4 linked regions of the Cricetulus griseus genome follow. The protein of the gene in region 4 purifies or fractionates together with the protein of the main gene of each other region. This does not show direct contact. Links are inferred from orthologs where the notes say so. Each region holds a gene or a part of one and is shown on either strand. Other genes may lie near its edges.

The links. The genes of interacting proteins can lie anywhere in the genome.
Region 1: the proteins of Otud5 (region 4) and Serbp1 purify together in Homo sapiens (affinity purification with mass spectrometry, with the first as the bait; 3 studies listed by BioGRID). This does not show direct contact. The link is inferred for Cricetulus griseus from reciprocal best matches to the Homo sapiens genes OTUD5 and SERBP1.
Region 2: the proteins of Otud5 (region 4) and Khdrbs1 purify together in Homo sapiens (affinity purification with mass spectrometry, with the first as the bait; 3 studies listed by BioGRID). This does not show direct contact. The link is inferred for Cricetulus griseus from reciprocal best matches to the Homo sapiens genes OTUD5 and KHDRBS1.
Region 3: the proteins of Otud5 (region 4) and Cdk4 purify together in Homo sapiens (affinity purification with mass spectrometry, with the first as the bait; 4 studies listed by BioGRID). This does not show direct contact. The link is inferred for Cricetulus griseus from reciprocal best matches to the Homo sapiens genes OTUD5 and CDK4.

The regions. Positions count from the first base shown.
Region 1 is NC_048601.1:75,942,036-75,946,215, reverse strand, and holds the start of Serbp1 (plasminogen activator inhibitor 1 RNA-binding protein), read left to right. Parts: upstream 1-1,380; 5' UTR 1,381-1,489; coding exon 1,490-1,802; intron 1,803-4,180. UniProt on the Homo sapiens protein: Ribosome-binding protein that promotes ribosome hibernation, a process during which ribosomes are stabilized in an inactive state and preserved from proteasomal degradation.
Region 2 is NC_048595.1:23,279,546-23,283,784, reverse strand, and holds the start of Khdrbs1 (KH domain-containing, RNA-binding, signal transduction-associated protein 1), read right to left. Parts: upstream 2,801-4,239; 5' UTR 2,651-2,800; coding exon 2,269-2,650; intron 1-2,268. UniProt on the Homo sapiens protein: Recruited and tyrosine phosphorylated by several receptor systems, for example the T-cell, leptin and insulin receptors. Once phosphorylated, functions as an adapter protein in signal transduction cascades by binding to SH2 and SH3 domain-containing proteins.
Region 3 is NW_023276806.1:130,641,208-130,645,268, forward strand, and holds the start of Cdk4 (cyclin-dependent kinase 4), read right to left. Parts: upstream 2,801-4,061; 5' UTR 2,643-2,800; intron 2,188-2,642; 5' UTR 2,168-2,187; coding exon 1,950-2,167; intron 1,806-1,949; coding exon 1,670-1,805; intron 1,564-1,669; coding exon 1,396-1,563; intron 1,244-1,395; coding exon 1,134-1,243; intron 608-1,133; coding exon 557-607; intron 243-556; coding exon 107-242; intron 1-106.
Region 4 is NC_048604.1:114,305,426-114,309,697, forward strand, and holds the start of Otud5 (OTU domain-containing protein 5), read left to right. Parts: upstream 1-1,472; 5' UTR 1,473-2,246; coding exon 2,247-2,840; intron 2,841-4,272. UniProt on the Homo sapiens protein: Deubiquitinating enzyme that functions as a negative regulator of the innate immune system. Has peptidase activity towards 'Lys-48'- and 'Lys-63'-linked polyubiquitin chains. Can also cleave 'Lys-11'-linked ubiquitin chains (in vitro).

The DNA of each region.
Region 1 (4,180 bases), on a different chromosome or scaffold from region 4:
ATAGTTATCAAAATTTCAACACTTGTCTTAACTTCTAGCAAGACGAGATTGGTTTACAGAATTGATGTGGGCAGTCTAGGTGCCACTACCATTTAACATAAGTGAGAACTTGGTAAGTCATATCACTTCTGACATGATTTCATCGCTTGTGAAAAGGGGACAATTGTTTTCCTAAAAAGATGTGAGGGTCAAGCATTCCTAGCACCTGCTACTTGAGAGATACACTTTCTAGTACACTCTGTGTCAACGGGAATGGTTTAAAAACTATACTATGTATTGGCACTGGATTGTCTTAATGTCAATGTTTTCAAGTCTTTACTAATTACCTAAATTAATTTTCCTTCCTTCATACATAATACTCAATGTAGTATACAATATTTCTTCTTGAGCACATCTTTTTTTGGGGGGGGTGGGGGGCTTCAAGACAGGGTTTCACTGTGTAGCCCCTGCTTTCCCTGAACTTGCTCTGTAGACCAGACTGCCCTCGATTCGCCTCCGGAATGCTGGGATTCAAGGCATGCGCCACCACCTCATGGTTCTTGAGCACATTTTTACCAACACTACAGCCTCAAAAGCCTTGGGTGGCCAGATAATGATGGATCAGTTAATCCGATTGATTCTAGAAAGCGTTTCCAAACACTGCCTTTTGGAGGCTTGCCTGGCGTCCAGTGCTGCAGTCAGGAGTTAACAGCTCTGAAAGCATGGTCGCAATGACCGGAAAAGGCGCGCAACCCAGACAGTCAACTCGTCTTTTTGATTCGTTCTGCCACCCAATGTCTCGGTGCGAGCAACCCCGGAATCCCGTTCCACTTTGAACCGAAGTGCCTCGATTCGCTGCGAAGGGTGGAGGGCAGCTCCAGAAACCCACCCGCTAGGGATGTGCAGCCGAGCGGCCACAATCTGCAGCCTACCGGAGGTTAAGTGTGGCACCTCACCCCCACCCCCACCCCCGGAAGTTTTTGAGGCTTCAGTTACTAGGTCTGGGAGTCACCTTGACCCTCTCAGAAAGGTGGAGAAAGTCCTCGGCCGGAGACGGGGTGGGCGAAACCACAAAGACAGAACACTTTCGTGAGCCGAAGACAACCTCACGTTTCCCTGGTTTTCAGGGGGTAGCTAAAGACCGAGAGTTTAAGGGTGACAAGAGCAGGTGGCCGAACTCCGCCCAGCACACGCTTCTCCACCTTCGGCGAGCACGCTTCACTCTCTCCGGGAGATCCCGCCTCTGAGGCGCGCGCGAAGAGGTGCTGCGCGGCGCACGCTGGGAGTTGTGGTTCAGGAGTGGGCCGCTGCTTCAGGATGATCCGCTGTGGCCTACATACCCCATGGTGCTGTGCGGCGCAGGCCACTCCCGGATGTGTGCCTGGCGCCGGAAGAGAAGGCGGCCCCCCTTTCTCGGCCCGGCCATCTTGTGGGAAGAGCTGAAGCAGGCGCTTTTGGCTCGGCGCGGTCCGCTGCAATCCGTGGAGGAACGCGCCGCCGAGCCACCATCATGCCCGGGCACCTACAGGAAGGGTTCGGCTGCGTGGTCACCAACCGATTCGACCAGCTATTTGACGACGAATCGGACCCTTTCGAGGTACTGAAGGCAGCAGAGAACAAGAAAAAAGAAGCCGGCGGGGGCGGCGTTGGTGGCCCTGGGGCCAAGAGCGCCGCTCAGGCCGCGGCCCAGACCAACTCCAACGCGGCGGGCAAACAGTTGCGTAAAGAGTCCCAGAAAGATCGCAAGAACCCGCTGCCCCCCAGCGTCGGCGTGGCTGACAAAAAGGAGGAGACGCAGCCGCCGGTGGCGCTTAAGAAAGAAGGTAAAGCCGGGCGAGGCGGTGGGGAGCCCCGGGCTGGCGGGCAGGACGGGGGCGTGCGCGGCCGCTCGCTGGTGCAGCCGGAGGGGGCGCGGCGTGCGCGGAGCCCCGCACGGTGCGCGAGCGTGGCTGGCACCGAGTCCACGCCGCTCGCAGGCTCGGCGGGAGCCTTCCCGCCTCGGGCTGACTGAGCGTGCTCCGAGAGGGCGGCCCGGGCGTTCCCGCCGATTCGGGCCGGGTGTTGGGCGCCGCCTGGCTCTCGGTGCCCGGGAGCAGCGAGCGGGCACGTTTCCTGCCCGGCGTGCTCAAATGTGTGCCGCTGCCCGCCCTGGGCTCCTGCCCTGCCATCTTGTCCCACAATGGCGCGGACCCTCGAGGAAAGGCCGGGGCTCGGAGTTTCCACCTGGGCTGCGGTCTGTTCGGGGCCACTGTTTAGAGAGTGGAGGAAGGGGCTGTTTGGGTCCCGCATGTGCAACAAAAAAAGTTGCACCCTTTTGCTCCTGTGTTCAACTTAACTGTAACTTAGTGGCGGGGATGAAGCTGTTGGAAAGGGGAGGAATTCGGAGCCCCCACTCGTTTTCGAGGGAGTTTCTGAATGGAGACTGGTTATCAGCAGAACCTTTCTCATGTCGCGAGCCCTTCTTCAATACCTTGAAGCCCCCCCCCCCCCCCCCAGGTGGATTGGGCTTTTCCTGTTTTGGGCTTCATGGGTCGAATGAGTGCCCAGCCTGTCACGTCCCCGGCAGCAGAGTTCTTTGGAGTCTGCAGCCTTTCCTCCGCACGTGCGTGAAGCATGGTCAGGTCCTCATTGGCGGTTAGTAGACTTCCAGGGCGCTGGAAGTTTCCTAGTTGTTTTTTGATTTTAGCATTCTAAAATACTGGCTTATTGTGGGTGAAAAAGCAAAGCAATTAAGGGTTAAGAAGGTTTAAAGTCAATAGTAGGTCGGTTTAGAATCTAAACTGTGAGTCTTTAAAGTTACCATTATATGTAAAGTTGCCTCTTAGTGCCACGTGCTCATGAAAGGAATTGTTTGGGTTTTGGTTTAAGGTATCTTTTTGGGGGGGTGTCTTTTTTTGTATGGCTTGGAGTAAACATCCAGTACCTAGTTGACTGAATAAAAGATTTCTCGTGCTAAAAATGATAGATTTGGAAGGGCAGCATAGTCTGGATTGTTAGAAAACATCATTTGGGCAAAAGTACTCAGCACATTAAGCTTGACATCGTACAGTCGAATAAGGCATTTAATTCTTGTGTAAAGGAACTCTGGTTGGTGTATTTTAAACTGTTTACCTCTTTGATGACACTAATTAAAGAAAATACATGAATAAGTTGTCTAAAACATACGATGTAGATGCACTCACTCATTAAATGTTCAAATCATGAAGCTTAATTTAAATTACTCAGTTTTCACCAGGAATCCTATCTATGATCTTACCTGGAAAGTAACATTGTAAGTCATAAGTGTGGGCAATTTTATTTACAGCCCGGATTCTTTGTCATTTACTTAAGTCATTAGGAAAACTTTTTCACATTGCTTATCGACATTTTCCCTTAGTATTTCAGAAATCTTTTTTTGTTGGTATCGGGGATTGAACTCAGGACCCTTAAATCACTCTAAAACCAGAGTTGCTTAAAACAAAGTTATACATAAGGAGAAATTTGGAATAAAAATGTCAGTTGTCCTCTGTATTGGATGGTACCTCTAAGAAAGGAAAGAATTGTTCATTTATGGTGTGTCCTGTGTCTCGATAACACAATACTGGAATGTAATGGTGTCCTTACATCACTTTTGTAACTTTTGTCTATTTGAAGAACTTGAGAGTTGGTAAAATGTTAAGTGTAGACTAGGTTTTTGGATTAAACAAACACCTGAATTCTACTGCAGTTGGCAATTCAAGTATAGGTAAGTACATGAAAAGAAGCTTATGCTTTAAAAAGTATCAACCATTTTTCATTAGATGAGTTTACTTTTTGTGGTGGGTGATATTGGTAGAGCCCAGCATTTTGCCCACTAGGCTTAAGTATAAAGTAGCACTCACTGAGCAACATTCCCAGCCCCATGATGAGTTTATTAAGTTTTTTTTTCTTGTTATGTAGGACTCATTGAGTATTGGGTGGGGAAGCAAGCCATTGTTCCTTGGGTGTGTTTAGCTTGGTTATCATTACAAGGACTGAACTGGTTCCATAGCTCCACCCTAACACACTGTACCTCTGATGAAATTTATGTAAATGTGTTGGCATAAGGTCTACATTTAGGGCTTGTCCTGAGAATTTACAAAGAATGAGATTTAAGTATTAAAGAGTTTTGTCTTTATGACTAGTTAGAGGTATCTTAATAATTGGTATATCCTGATGATCTTCCATTTCCTTAAACTAAGTC
Region 2 (4,239 bases), on a different chromosome or scaffold from region 4:
TACATATAACTTAGTCCTCAAACCCAGCATTTGAGTAAATTTCTCAAGATTAGCTAGTTAAGGATCAGTTTCCAAAGTTAACTTCTTAAAACCACTTAATTCTCCAGCAATTAACCTGTCAGGTTATAAAGATTTGAGGAACTAAAAATAAGAATACTAAGTCGACCTTAATCATAGTGATTTTCTTGCAGGCACTTGTTCTCAGTCAACCAAACACTGGTGTTTGTTATTTGCAAGCCAGTATGAAAATAAATAAATAAATAAAATGAAAGATGGCCTGAATGTGTAGAGTGCCTATCGTGCATAAAGTTCTGAGTTTTATCCTAGGCACTTCATACCTCCCAAACTCTGGAAATAGAGGCAGAAGGAACATAAGTTCAAATCATCCTTGGTTAGAAAGTGAGCGCCAACCAGTCTCAGTTACTTGAGACCTTAAAAAAGAAAAAAAAAAGAAAATTCTTACCAGTAAGTAACTTGTCATGAAACATAAGAACCTAGCCAGGCAGTGGTGACACACATCTTTAATCCCAGCATTTGGGAGGCAGAGGCAAGCCAATCTCTGTGAGTTTGAGGTCAGCTTGGTGTACACAGCAAGTTCCAGGCCAGCCAGGAAAACACAGAGAAACCTTATCTGGAAAAACCAACAAAGAGCAGAATAGGGGCACTAAGTTGAAATGCAACCAACTGATCTAAACGTTTGTATTTACTGACCCAGCTTTTTGTTTTACTGCACTTGTAAGACCCTTAATTTAGCCAGACGTTGGTGGCGCACGCCTTTAATCCCAGCACTCGGGAGGCAGAGGCAGGTGGATCTCTGTGAGTTCGAGACCAGCCTGGTCTACAAGAGCTAGTTCCAGGACAGCCTCCAAAGCCACAGAGAAACCCTGTCTTGAAAAACCAAAACCAAAACAAAACAAAACAAAACCCTTAATTGCTGTTTTCATACCTGTCTGTAAAGAAAATCACATCCTTAAATCTTCTTTTTTATTGCAAAAATAGTAAAGTCCCTTCACCAATCCTAGGAAACAGAGAACAAATGGAGGAAAATGGTATTTTCCCTTTATTTCACTTCAGATTCGTACCTGAGTGCCTGTAGTTCAAAAAGAGTATCTGATCCCCCTCCCCTGGTGCTAATTTTACAAGTGTTTGTGAGCCACGTGATGTGGGTGCTGGGAACCGAACCCCTGTGGAAGAGCAGAAAGTGCTCTTAACCGCTGTTCCATCTCTCTCCATCAGATAATGGTATTTTCACAATGAACTGTCCACGGTATCATTTTGGCCAGAGTCCAACTACTCATTTAGTGAGACGGACTAAGGGTTTTATATGCTAAATAATATTTAGATGTCGTAAGAAATACTTATTAAAAACCATGCCTTAACTATAAATGAGGGTCAAGCAGATGGTCTGAATAAGAAAACTAAGTCATGAAGTCAAGAGAGCTCGCCGTCTGCAAGCAAAGAACAAAGGCTACCTTTCCTAAACTATCTCTTCTCAAGCCCAAACTAAAACAAGACCAATTTCTCTCGTTCATCTCACGATAAAGAACCTGCAGTCCCTTACCTCCCTTTATCATTTCTTCCCAGAGTCTCCTTAGTTACTCGCTCTACTTCTGCGTGATTGTCAAGACACATTTTAAAATAAAGGAGAAAAACCGTCCGGGTCTGCAGCAATTCTTATTCGACAGGCCGATGTGGAAAACTGAACTCGAGAAAAATCTCAAGCTCCGGTTCTCTCGTCGCTCCAGCCTCTGAGTAACTTAAATCCGAGTTCCCGCTAAATCCCGCACGGCTCGGTAGACGGTGACGGCGCCGGCGCCGGCCCGGCATCCCGGCCCTGCCTCCCTCCCGGTTCCGACCGTCTTTCCTCCCTACACCCCGGGTCAAGGCGCTCTCCACCACGCGCGATCAAAAGGCAAATTCCCCTCCCCCCTTTGGGAAAGCGGGGCAAAGAAGGTTCATTTCTGGAAAGATCTGGTCGTCGGCGCGCGGGGCAACTACTAGAGGAGGAGACAGGGTCGGGAAGGGGGGCGGGAGCACAGTACTATCCATCAAGCTCTGCGCGCACGCACGGAGACTCCTCCGAGGCTCAGAAATCTCCCCTCACACCCTGAGCAGGGGTGGGACTTGTGGGTCCAGGATCTTGAAGGCCAGGGTCGAGAAGGGAACTCCCGATGCCCGGGCTCCGAGGGGGCGGGAGCAAGAGGAACAAAGCGGCGGCCACCCACCGCCAGGACCGGGAAAGCCGAGGGTGCGCCAAGACCCGCTTACCTACGGACAACAGCTGCATGGCGTGAGTGAAAGACGGGTCGAGGGAGTCCTTCTCAGCCATGAGTTCGGGCAGGTACTTATTCTCCGGCTCCATCTTGGCCGCGGCTGTGGCTGACGGGGGCAGCAGCGGGGTCGGCGCCGATCCGACCACAGTCGCGTCGGGACCCGTGGCCGAGGGAGGCAGCAGCGGCGGCGGCTGCGTGGCGGGCGAGGCCCGGACGCCCCCTCTGGGCCCACCTCCGCCTCCCCGGGACCGGTGAGGCAGCGGTGACGGCCGAGTCGGGGTCTGACGCACCGAGGGGTGGACACCTGAGGGGTCCATGGAGCCGCTGCGGCCCGAGGACCGAGTCAGGCGCGCGGCAGGGTCGTCCCGGCGCTGCATCGGGGAGGATGTGTGGCGAGCGAGCGAGGAAGCGACGCGGCGGCAGCCGAGGCCCGAGCGGCGGTTGGCGGGGGTGGAAGAGCGGGAGCGACAGCGACCGAAGCCGACCCGAGCGACCCAGCGAGAGAGCACCGGAAATGAGGCGGCGCGCGTGCGCAGACGTCTACCGGCACCGCCCTTGAGTTTCTCCGCGGAGAACAAAGTCCCCAGTCTGGCCACGGCGCCTGCGCCGACTAAAGACGTCGTCTCCCCGCTCGGGCTTCGGGTCTATCGCGCCTGCGCGGGCGCCAGCCTCCTTCGTTCGTTTCTTTTTTTTTGTTTTCCACGTGACTCGGTGCTAGCGGTTCACGTGTCTCCCCCCCCCACTCAGGCGGAGGGGGCGGGGGCTCTGGAATGTCTTTGTCTGCGCGCGGGCCCGCCGAGAGTGGGGCAGCGGAGGACTTATTCGAGGGCCACGCCTCCTCCAACGGCCGAGCCTCGCAAGGTCCCTAGAGAGATGTGCTTCTGAGGAGCATCTGGTGCCGTCCCTCCAGCCAGGAAATGGAAAGAACGCTTCTGGGGACCCGGAGAGGGGAAGAGGAGGGTTAGAGCAGTGTGAGGCCGGAAGAGAGGGAAAGACTGCCCCAACGGGATGGGACGCTGGGAGCGCTGGGAGAGGCTGACCCGAGGAGTAAGCGTTGGGTGTGGAAAGGGAAGCCTGGAGGGAGAGATAGAAGACTAAAAGCCACTTATTGCCAGTGTGCAACTCAGAAGGGTCGATCAGAGACGCAAAGGCCGGGAGAAAGGGGCTCCAGACCCAAACAGGGCATCCAAGAAGTCGGATACTAAGCTTTCCATTATAGCAGGCTCAAAATTGGCGAGAGAATTCTTGTGGAAAGACGCATCTGGGGTCGGATCAGCAGGTAACTCTGCTTGTCTCCTGAGTTCTATCCCCAGGCCCTAAATGGTGGGAGGAGAAAACCGGCTCTCACAAGTTGTCCTCTGACCTCTACACTCAGTGGCATTCAATGTGTCTTCCCCCCCCCCCCATGGAGGAGGGCGGATTAAGATGCACCATTGTAGTGTACACCTGCGCTGAGGAGGGAGAAACTCAGGAGACTTAACGAAAGTTTGAGACAAGTCTGATCTCCATTAGGAGCTCCTGGCGACTTAGGGTATCTAATGGACGCTTAGTCCCCCAAAACAAACCAAGAAACATTTTAGATAGATTAGGGAGATGGCACACCTGTGGTCCTAGCAATGGTGAGACTGAGGCCCTTTAGCTTATACATTTTGTTGCCTTCTGTTTTATTCTGTAAAAAGGTGACCACAGGCCCAGTCCTTAATCCGTGTTGGCTGTATAGTTCTCTTGTGCTCCTACTGCTGGTATGAATGCTGGTCCTGCCTTTGTTGGTTCCTTCACAACAGATCGTACTACATTCGTAAAAGAACAGAAACTTTTTACTTATTTTTCTTTAATCTTCAGAATTCTGGAATAACAGAATAAATCACCATAAGACAGTTACTCAATACTGCTTTAAAGACCAGGATGAATAGTCTCTAAGGTAGTCCCCTCATCCTGGAATGCTATGTGTAGATGGAGCCCAGAT
Region 3 (4,061 bases), on a different chromosome or scaffold from region 4:
CTGACACATAGCTTTTACTCGAGTTCTGGGGATTCAAACTCAGGTCCTTACACTTATGCCCTAAAAGCTTTATCACAGAGCCACCTCCCTGGCCCATGCCCACTACCAGCAGCAGCTGTGCTCCAGATTCCTCCATCTCCGGTACCACCGACTGCACAGGCCGCGGCCCTCTGGGGGAAAAGGCTCCTCGGGGAAGAGATACCTCTCGAGGCCAGTCATCTTCTGGGGGCAATCCAATGAGACTGTAGGGATAACACAAATCTGGTCAGGGGGGCTTTTTCCAGTTTCCATCTCCAGGGCCAACTGCCATTTGGAATTGAGCAGAAACTGAATTAAGAATGGGGAATTTTAGCCGGGCGGTGGTGACTCATGCCTTTAATCCCAGCACTTGGGAGGCAGAGGCAGGCGGATCTCTGTGAGTTTGAGATCTTGTAGACCAGCCTGGTCTACAAGAGCTAGTTCCAGGACAGCCTCCAAAGCCACAGAGAAACCCTGCCTCGAAAAAAACAAACAAAAAGGGGGGGGGGGATTTCTTTCCCCTTTATTGGACACTTACTCAAAGATTTTGCCCAACTGGTCAGCTTCAGAGTTTCCACAGAAGAGAGGCCTAAGGTAGAAAAATATTCCAAGTATATATTATTTCAGAAATAAGGGAATGATAATCAAAGTGGCTGAGATTAGAGAGGACGGAGAATAAGGGAACACAAAGTTCCTAATTCCTAGACATTTCAGGAAATTTGCCTGCATCGTTTCTGGTTTTAGGCAAGTTGGTGAACATAAACAGGATAGGTTGGGACTATAGCTGGGTGGCAGGGCACGCGCCTGATAAATACAAGAGCCTAGGTTGGGGCGTCCAGTGCCATATGCACAAAAATGGTCAAGAACGGGTATGTCTTGTAAAAAGACCCAGGGGCGGGGAGTGTAGTTTAGTGGTATAGAGCATTTGCCCAGTGTATGTGCAGTTCTGATTTCAACCTCTAACACCATAAGTAACATCAAAAGATTTGTGTAACTGAAGGGACCTAAGAGTTCCACACCCTGAGCCAGGTGGTGGCGGCAGGCGGATCTCCGAGGGAGTCACAGGACAGCCAGGGCTACCCTGTCTTAAAAAACAAAAGTTTCAAGCCCCGTACTTTCGACGAAACATCTCTGCAAAGATACAGCCAACGCTCCACATGTCCACGGGTGTTGCGTATGTAGACTGCAGAAGAACTTCAGGAGCACGGTACCAGAGTGTAACAACCTAAACAGAAGAGGAGAAACGAGTGAGAGTCCTTTTCATGGCTCATAGCTGCTGGGCTTTGAGAACGTCAAGCACAACACACCTCAGCTGCTACGGGAAATCAAGTACTACCTAAAGCCGAATCCCATTGGGGCTGCCATCTTTCCACTCACCACAGGTGTGAGGGCCATCTGGTAGCTGTAGATTCTGGCCAGGCCAAAGTCAGCCAGCTTGACTGTCCCATTACTAGTCACCAGAATGTTCTCCGGTTTCAGGTCTCGGTGAACAATGCAATTTGCATGAAGAAAATCCAGGCCGCTTAGAAACTGTCGCATCAGGTCCTGGTTTTGAAGGAGAAAGCCCCGGACACCATGTAACACGCTCAAAAACCCCAAGAGTCCCTACTACAAAGACCCGGATCCACCTCTCACCGAGCAGCCCGCTCACCTTGATGGTCTCAACTGGCAAGCCTGGTGGGGGTGCTTTATCCAGGTATGTCCTCAGATCCTGATCTATATGCTCAAACACGAGAGTGACCTTGATGTCTCGATCAGTTCGGGAGGTAGCACAGACATCCATTAGCCTGACAAAAATAAACAGTCGCCAGCCGGTCAATGTCCTTTGTTCCAACGTGGCCTCTGGAGTCCTAGGGTCCCACTCCCGACGACCACACCCCTGGCTTACAGATCCCATTCTTTCCTCCCCACTCCCAATCCAACCTCCTCACCGTACAACATTGGGGTGCTCGAAGGCCTCCAACCGCCTCAGTAAGGCCACCTCGCGTACAGTGCTGATGGGAAGGCCCCCTCCAGCTCCCCCTCCGTTGGGAACTCGCACACTCTTGAGGGCCACAAAGTGGCCACTGTGGGGATCTCGGGCCTTGTATACCGTCCCATAGGCACCAACACCGATTTCAGCCACCGGTTCATAGCGGGAGGTAGCCATTCTCGGAGCAGGGAGATCTCCTACAATCACAGAGGCTTCTAAAACCAAGCCCTCCTTTCCTTCACAGCTAGGAGGGGGGATGACCCAGCAGTAACAAAGGAATTCCTGCCCACGACCGCACCGACACAGCCGCCCATCCCCTCCCTCCACGCTGCCAGAGTGCCGCGCCTCAGGTAACACAAAAGACTCTCCCACCGAGCCCTCCAGCCACGTGATGTCCCGGAGGGGCGAAAAAGAATGCATTCCTCCCGGGGAGGAGGAGGGGGGAGAACGGGACATCGCACCGGGCACAAAGAAGACCATCACAATGCACGGCGTTGGCATCGAAGGTTGCACACTTTATTCCCTAAAATCACACGCTGGCCGCGACCACAAAGGCCCCGCTTCCCGCCCTTGGGCCATCCTTCCACAACGAGGGGATCCATAGGGTGGTGGCGGGGCGCCGGGCCCCATCCCTGCAAGCGGCTGCACTCACCTCTCGCCCGGCCAAGAGCTGCGGAGGTGGCCCTTTATCTGGGCCCGGGAGCCGGTTCCTGCGGCGCCATACACCGGGGATCGGTCCCGGGCAGCTGGACGCTACGGGCCAGACCATAGACACGGGCCGCGAGCTAGAGAGGCCCCCCTCACCCCCACCCTCCCCATGTGACCAGCAGCCAGGGAGGCGCGCGGAAACCGGGGGGGGGGGGCGAACGCCGGACGTTCGCGGCGGACACGTGGTCTCCATCCATCCATCCATCCATCCATGCATGCGCAGTGGATGACCTGGGATGGGGGGGGCGAAACTCGCTCGGGCACGTGACCTGTTGCTATCCCACGTGACCCCTCAGCTCTGCGCTGGGAAGCAGAGGCGTGGCTACGCCGCCTACCACGTGACCCGCCGCCAGTCCCTGACTGCCGAGGGGGTGTGTGGGGGCGAGGGAGGGTGGAGCACCAGGCGGTGCCATGGCAACCGGGCCAGCCGGCTCTCAACTCTGGGCTCAAGGCCGAGCCTGTGCGCATCTCTCCGTCTCACTCCTTGTCTGGACGTGGGCGGGGAGGTCCGGGTGCTAGTGGGAGATCCTGGTACCAGAGATGGGACTGTCACATTTTTCACTCCAGCGCCATGGGGAAGGAGCATTCGTATACTGTGCCTTCGTTTTACTCATTCATTCAACAAAAATTTTACTAAGGGCTCCTTTCCAGTTGGTATGTGATGTTTTTGTTTTGGTGTCTCAGCCATTCGCCCTCTGAAGTAATGATGAGGGTATCTAATGTAGGCAAGTGTGGCCCCTTATGAAACAGGGAGTACGATTCCTATCCAAGAAGGAAACTAGGGCTAAAAGATGGACAGCAGGATTAATATACTCAGTCACTGTATGGGAAGAGTGGCAACGTAATGCCCTCCCCTCTTCCAACTTGCAAACCTCCCTGGGAATATTAAAAGCAGCAAGGAGTTATTGGAAACTCTGTTGTTTTGTTTTTTTTCGAGACAGGGTTTCTCTCTGTAGACCAGGCTGACCTCGAACTTACACAGATCTGCCTGCCTCTGTCTCCCAAGTGCTGGGATTCTGAGATTAAAGGCGTGCACCACTACGGCCCAACAGGGTGCCTGATCTTAAAAGGCTCTTAACACTAAGATTCTGTATTGTGTTACATATGTATGTAATTGTGCATATGAACAGACAAAACGGTGAGCGTGTACAAGGGCGGTCACCAACACCACTTCAGACCACCATGTTGCCCGAGAACGTCTTGTGTCCCTCTGCAAACATGCAACTCATCATTGGTGTCACATTCCTTTTTATTTCTAATGCAGCTTTCTTAGAGCTACTCTTGCCCTTATGGGCATTTCCCAAGTGGTCTGTGCCCACAGAAATCTAGGTAGACAGGTAGATTTGGCATTCGTTGTGTTGTG
Region 4 (4,272 bases):
GTTTCTGGTTTGGGCAATGATGGGATGGGGGTGTTTTTTGCTGTTAAAGGAAATATGAAAGCTATTACTACATAGTTAAGTACTGGGTGAAGGCTAGTCATGAATACTATGAGTTTAGTTAGGTGGGTAGTGCTAAGCAGATATCCTATAGGGAATGGGATATATGGGTCTGAAGAGGAGTCAGTATAATGTTTTCCAGCATGTGGCAGAAATCCTTGAACACAGAAGTCCCAGCAGATACTTAGTTGTCTCCTCCTGGGAAGTCTCAGGAACATAAAATATCAGTAGGACCCATATGTATCCATGTGTTACTGATGCCTTTCAGGAAAAAGCTTCTGTTAAGGTTAGCATCTGAAGCGAGGAGGTTAGGTGGTCTTTCTGTTTCCCCCCAAATATCTTTTTTTGTTGTTTGTTTTTCGAGACAGGGTTTCTCTGTGGCTTTGGAGACTGTCTTGGAACTAGCTGTTGTAGACCAGGCTGGTCTCGAAGTCACAGAGATCCATCTGCCTCTGCCTCCCGAGTGCTGGGATTAAAGGTGTGCACCACCAACTCCAGGCCCCCAAAATATTTTTTGTTGGAGACAGAGTCAACATGTAGTCCTGGCTAGCCTTGAACTCTCTTTAAAATTATTCTATATGTACAGGGTTTTGTCTACATGTATGTATTTTCATTACAAGCATGCCTAGAGCTGGATGAGGCCAAAAGAGTTTGTCATATCCTTGGGACCAGAGATACAGATAGTTGTGAACCACCACGTGGGTGCTAGAAAGTGAACCTGGGTCCTCTGGAAGAGCAAATGCTGTTAACCACCGAGCTGTCTCTCCAGACCCTGGCTTTGAGCTCTTGATTGTCCTGCCTTAGCCTCCAGAGCAATGATAACCCCATTTCTTTTGAGACAGGGTTTCTCTGTGTATCTCTAGCTGTTCTGGCACTAGCTCTTGTAGACCAGGCTGGCCTCGAACTCAAGAGATCCACCTGCCTCTGCCTCCTGAGCGCTTGGATTAAAGGCGTGCGCCACTACTGCCCGACTTGGCATTAATTTCTAACACACAGAAATTAGATCCTAGCACTAGGGAGGCAGAGGCAGGTGGATCTCTGTGAGTTCCAGACTAGCCTGGTCTACAAGAGCTTTTGCCAACACTACTGGAAGACGCTAGGTACTGACAGTGTTGGTTCGTAAACATTTTCTTTCCTGAGTAAATTAAGGGATGGGGGCGGCGGTTGTGGAGGTGGCGAGAAAGGCTGTACTGCGCCTGCGCAATAGCTATAGGCTTGAGAGGTCAACGTGAGGGTAAGAGGGCGGAGGTGACAGAATAGGCGTGTCTTTCCGCCAAACAAGTAGGCAAATGTTGCAGTTCTGTCTAGCGGTTGGCCCTTCTGAGGTGACGGACTGCATTGTTAAGCCAATCACGTCAAGATTACGTTTGTTGCCAGGGTGAAGCAGGGTCCGCCTTTTCGGGCTTGCTGATTGGTGGAACCGGAAGTGACGACGCCTCACAGGATGATACGCTCTGGGAATGTTGATGTTTTCCTGTGAGTCTGACTGAGTTCCAGATGGAATCCTTGAGGAGACGACTTGTTGTGTTCGTGAGGCCAACCACTCTGTTTCTTCAAAGTACGGATACGTGCGGGCTGGAACCTTGGGGAAAGAAAGGAACAGGACGGAACCAAAGTTTTTCTGCTGGGAACACGGCTGCAGACTTTGAAATTTGAGAGGGAGGACACGAGAGAGCGAGCGCTTATCCCTGATTGGTTCTTGGGTGTTGTCAAGGCTTTACGCAGGTTCTTCAATTGGTTGGTATTCGCAATTGTCACCGCCGCGACAATTTTTTGCCCACGTACTTCCGAACAAGAGGCAGGGCTGTGTTCTGTTACGCCTGCGCACGGCCTGGGCGGCCCCACCCGGTAGTTCAAGAACCTGTGAAGGGGCGGGGCGAAGAGGTACTTGTTTTGGTTGTGTTTCCTTTGAAGCTGAATCCCGGAACAAGGTAGCAATAAGCTTGGCTGGACTTGGAGAAAAGGCTACGACAAATTCGTCTTTGTACCATCCTATTGGACTTCACATCCGGGATCTCCTCCGGGCGTGACCTGCGTACTGCCTACCGTTCTCGAACCGGTGTCCTGATCCCTTTATACAGGCCTTGCTGTTCCCATCGTGCTTCGCGCACAACAGTAGCCCCCTCATCCGGGTTCTCTCCCGGCGTTCTCAGCGTTTCGTTTGCTGTGGGGTACTTGCCCGTGCCGCCATGACTATTCTCCCCAAAAAGAAGCCGCCACCTCCCGATGCCGACCCGGCCAACGAACCGTCGCCGCCCGGGCCGCTGCCCCCAGCGCCTCGGCGCGGTGGGGGTGTGGGTGTGGGCGGCGGCGGCACGGGAGTGGGTGGAGGAGAGCGCGACCGAGACTCCGGCGTCGTGGGGGCCCGTCCCAGGGCTTCACCACCACCTCAGGGCCCGCTCCCGGGGCCGCCTGGTGCTCTTCATCGTTGGGCACTAGCCGTGCCGCCTGGCGCAGTGGCGGGCCCTCGGCCACAGCAGGCTTCTCCACCTCCTTGTGGGGGCCCTGGTGGCCCCGGCGGCGGTCCTGGTGACGCTCTTGGTGCGGCAACTGCGGGGGTGGGCGCGGCAGGGGTGGTGGTGGGCGTGGGTGGTGCCGTGGGCGTTGGCGGCTGCTGCTCGGGGCCGGGGCACAGCAAGCGGCGGCGTCAAGCTCCCGGCGTTGGCGCAGTTGGCGGGGGCAGTCCGGAGCGTGAAGAGGTCGGAGCAGGCTACAACAGTGAAGACGAATATGAAGCTGCGGCAGCACGAATCGAAGCCATGGATCCTGCCACTGTAGAGCAGGTAAGGGCTGCAAGGTGAGGAGCTGGCAGATAACAGCACGTGAGTCCACCAGACTCAGAAGGGATCCAAGGAAGTGTTGTTTCAGAGTGGTCCAAGAAACCTAGGTCTTGTTGCTGGGCCTGACATTCTTCTCTGGTGATGAAGGTATGATGAAACCTCATTTCCCCCAGGGACTTGGTGTTAGGGGTCCTAAGTATGCTAACATACTTCAAGATGAGATCTGGGAGCTCTTTTGCAGTCCATAGTTGTCAGTCCTGGTCTTGGGGTCTCATCTGCATGACTGTTGGTGAGAAGTCTCCAGGAGTCACAGGTAGGTTTGGATTCCTTCTTGAGAGGAGGATCTCATGTCTCACTAAGGGACTTCGGTTCAGTGACTTAAGAGCTCTTTTTCTTTAGGACAAGTTAGATTTCCTCTCCAGAGAACTCAGAAAAGGCAGTGTCCTCAGAGATAGGGTCTAGGCGTACCCAAGAAACCTAAACCTGACATTCTTCATGTAGGAAGGACCCTCTTTTCCTTTGCAGAGTTGACAGGTCTGTTCACCAGCCATGCCTGGGACCTCCTCAGGAGTCCTAAGCATCAATTCAAGGACCTAGACCTCCTTGGAGAATTTAGGGCTTAGAGTAAACCGACATAACGGTAGATAGTGATTTCCAAAGCATCCCTCCAGTGATGTGAAACTTCTTTCTGGGAAATAAACTTCTCTAACCCTTGGAGACAAAGGCCAAAACCAATACCTAGGACCAGAAACTGCCTGTCTCATATCCTTTCTGAGTGACATTGGTTTGTGTTTTCTATCAGTGGACTGAGACCTGCATCCTTGGAGACAAGGGTCCTCAGTTTCTTCTCATTGATAGGCTCTTTGCCTCCACCCCTACCATTCAACTGAGGACCTGAACCTTTCTTCAAATGAATGAGATTAAGAACTTTGGATCACAGTCGATGTTGGTGTAAAGACCTCTTTGCTTATGGACTGGAGTTTTACAGACTGGGCCCGTGGCCTCTTCAGGAGTATGGCACTTAAAGATGTCCCAGGCTGGAAGTGTTCTTCAGGACACACTTTTATTCATAGACCAGTGTCTATGCTCTTGGGGGTTCATATATTCCCCTAAGGATATATGTCTTACTGATTGAAATGCACTTCAGGGATTCAACATCCCATTTTTTCTCTTCAGTTCATCTAAAGACTTCTCTGATCCCCCAGGGGCTGAGCTGTTAATCTCACAGGAAAAGAGCTCTCAAGTCACTAAACACAGATTAAGTTCCTTGGGAAAAACCTGAGGCTTCCCTCAGGAAGAGCTCCATCTTTCCTGGAAAAAGAACTCCCACCTATTGACTTTGCAGATGAGGTCCCAGAATCTAGCATGAAATCTATAGACCCTATATAATCCCTGCTTTGGAAATGGGCAGTATGGAGACCCAGAGGTGATGTCA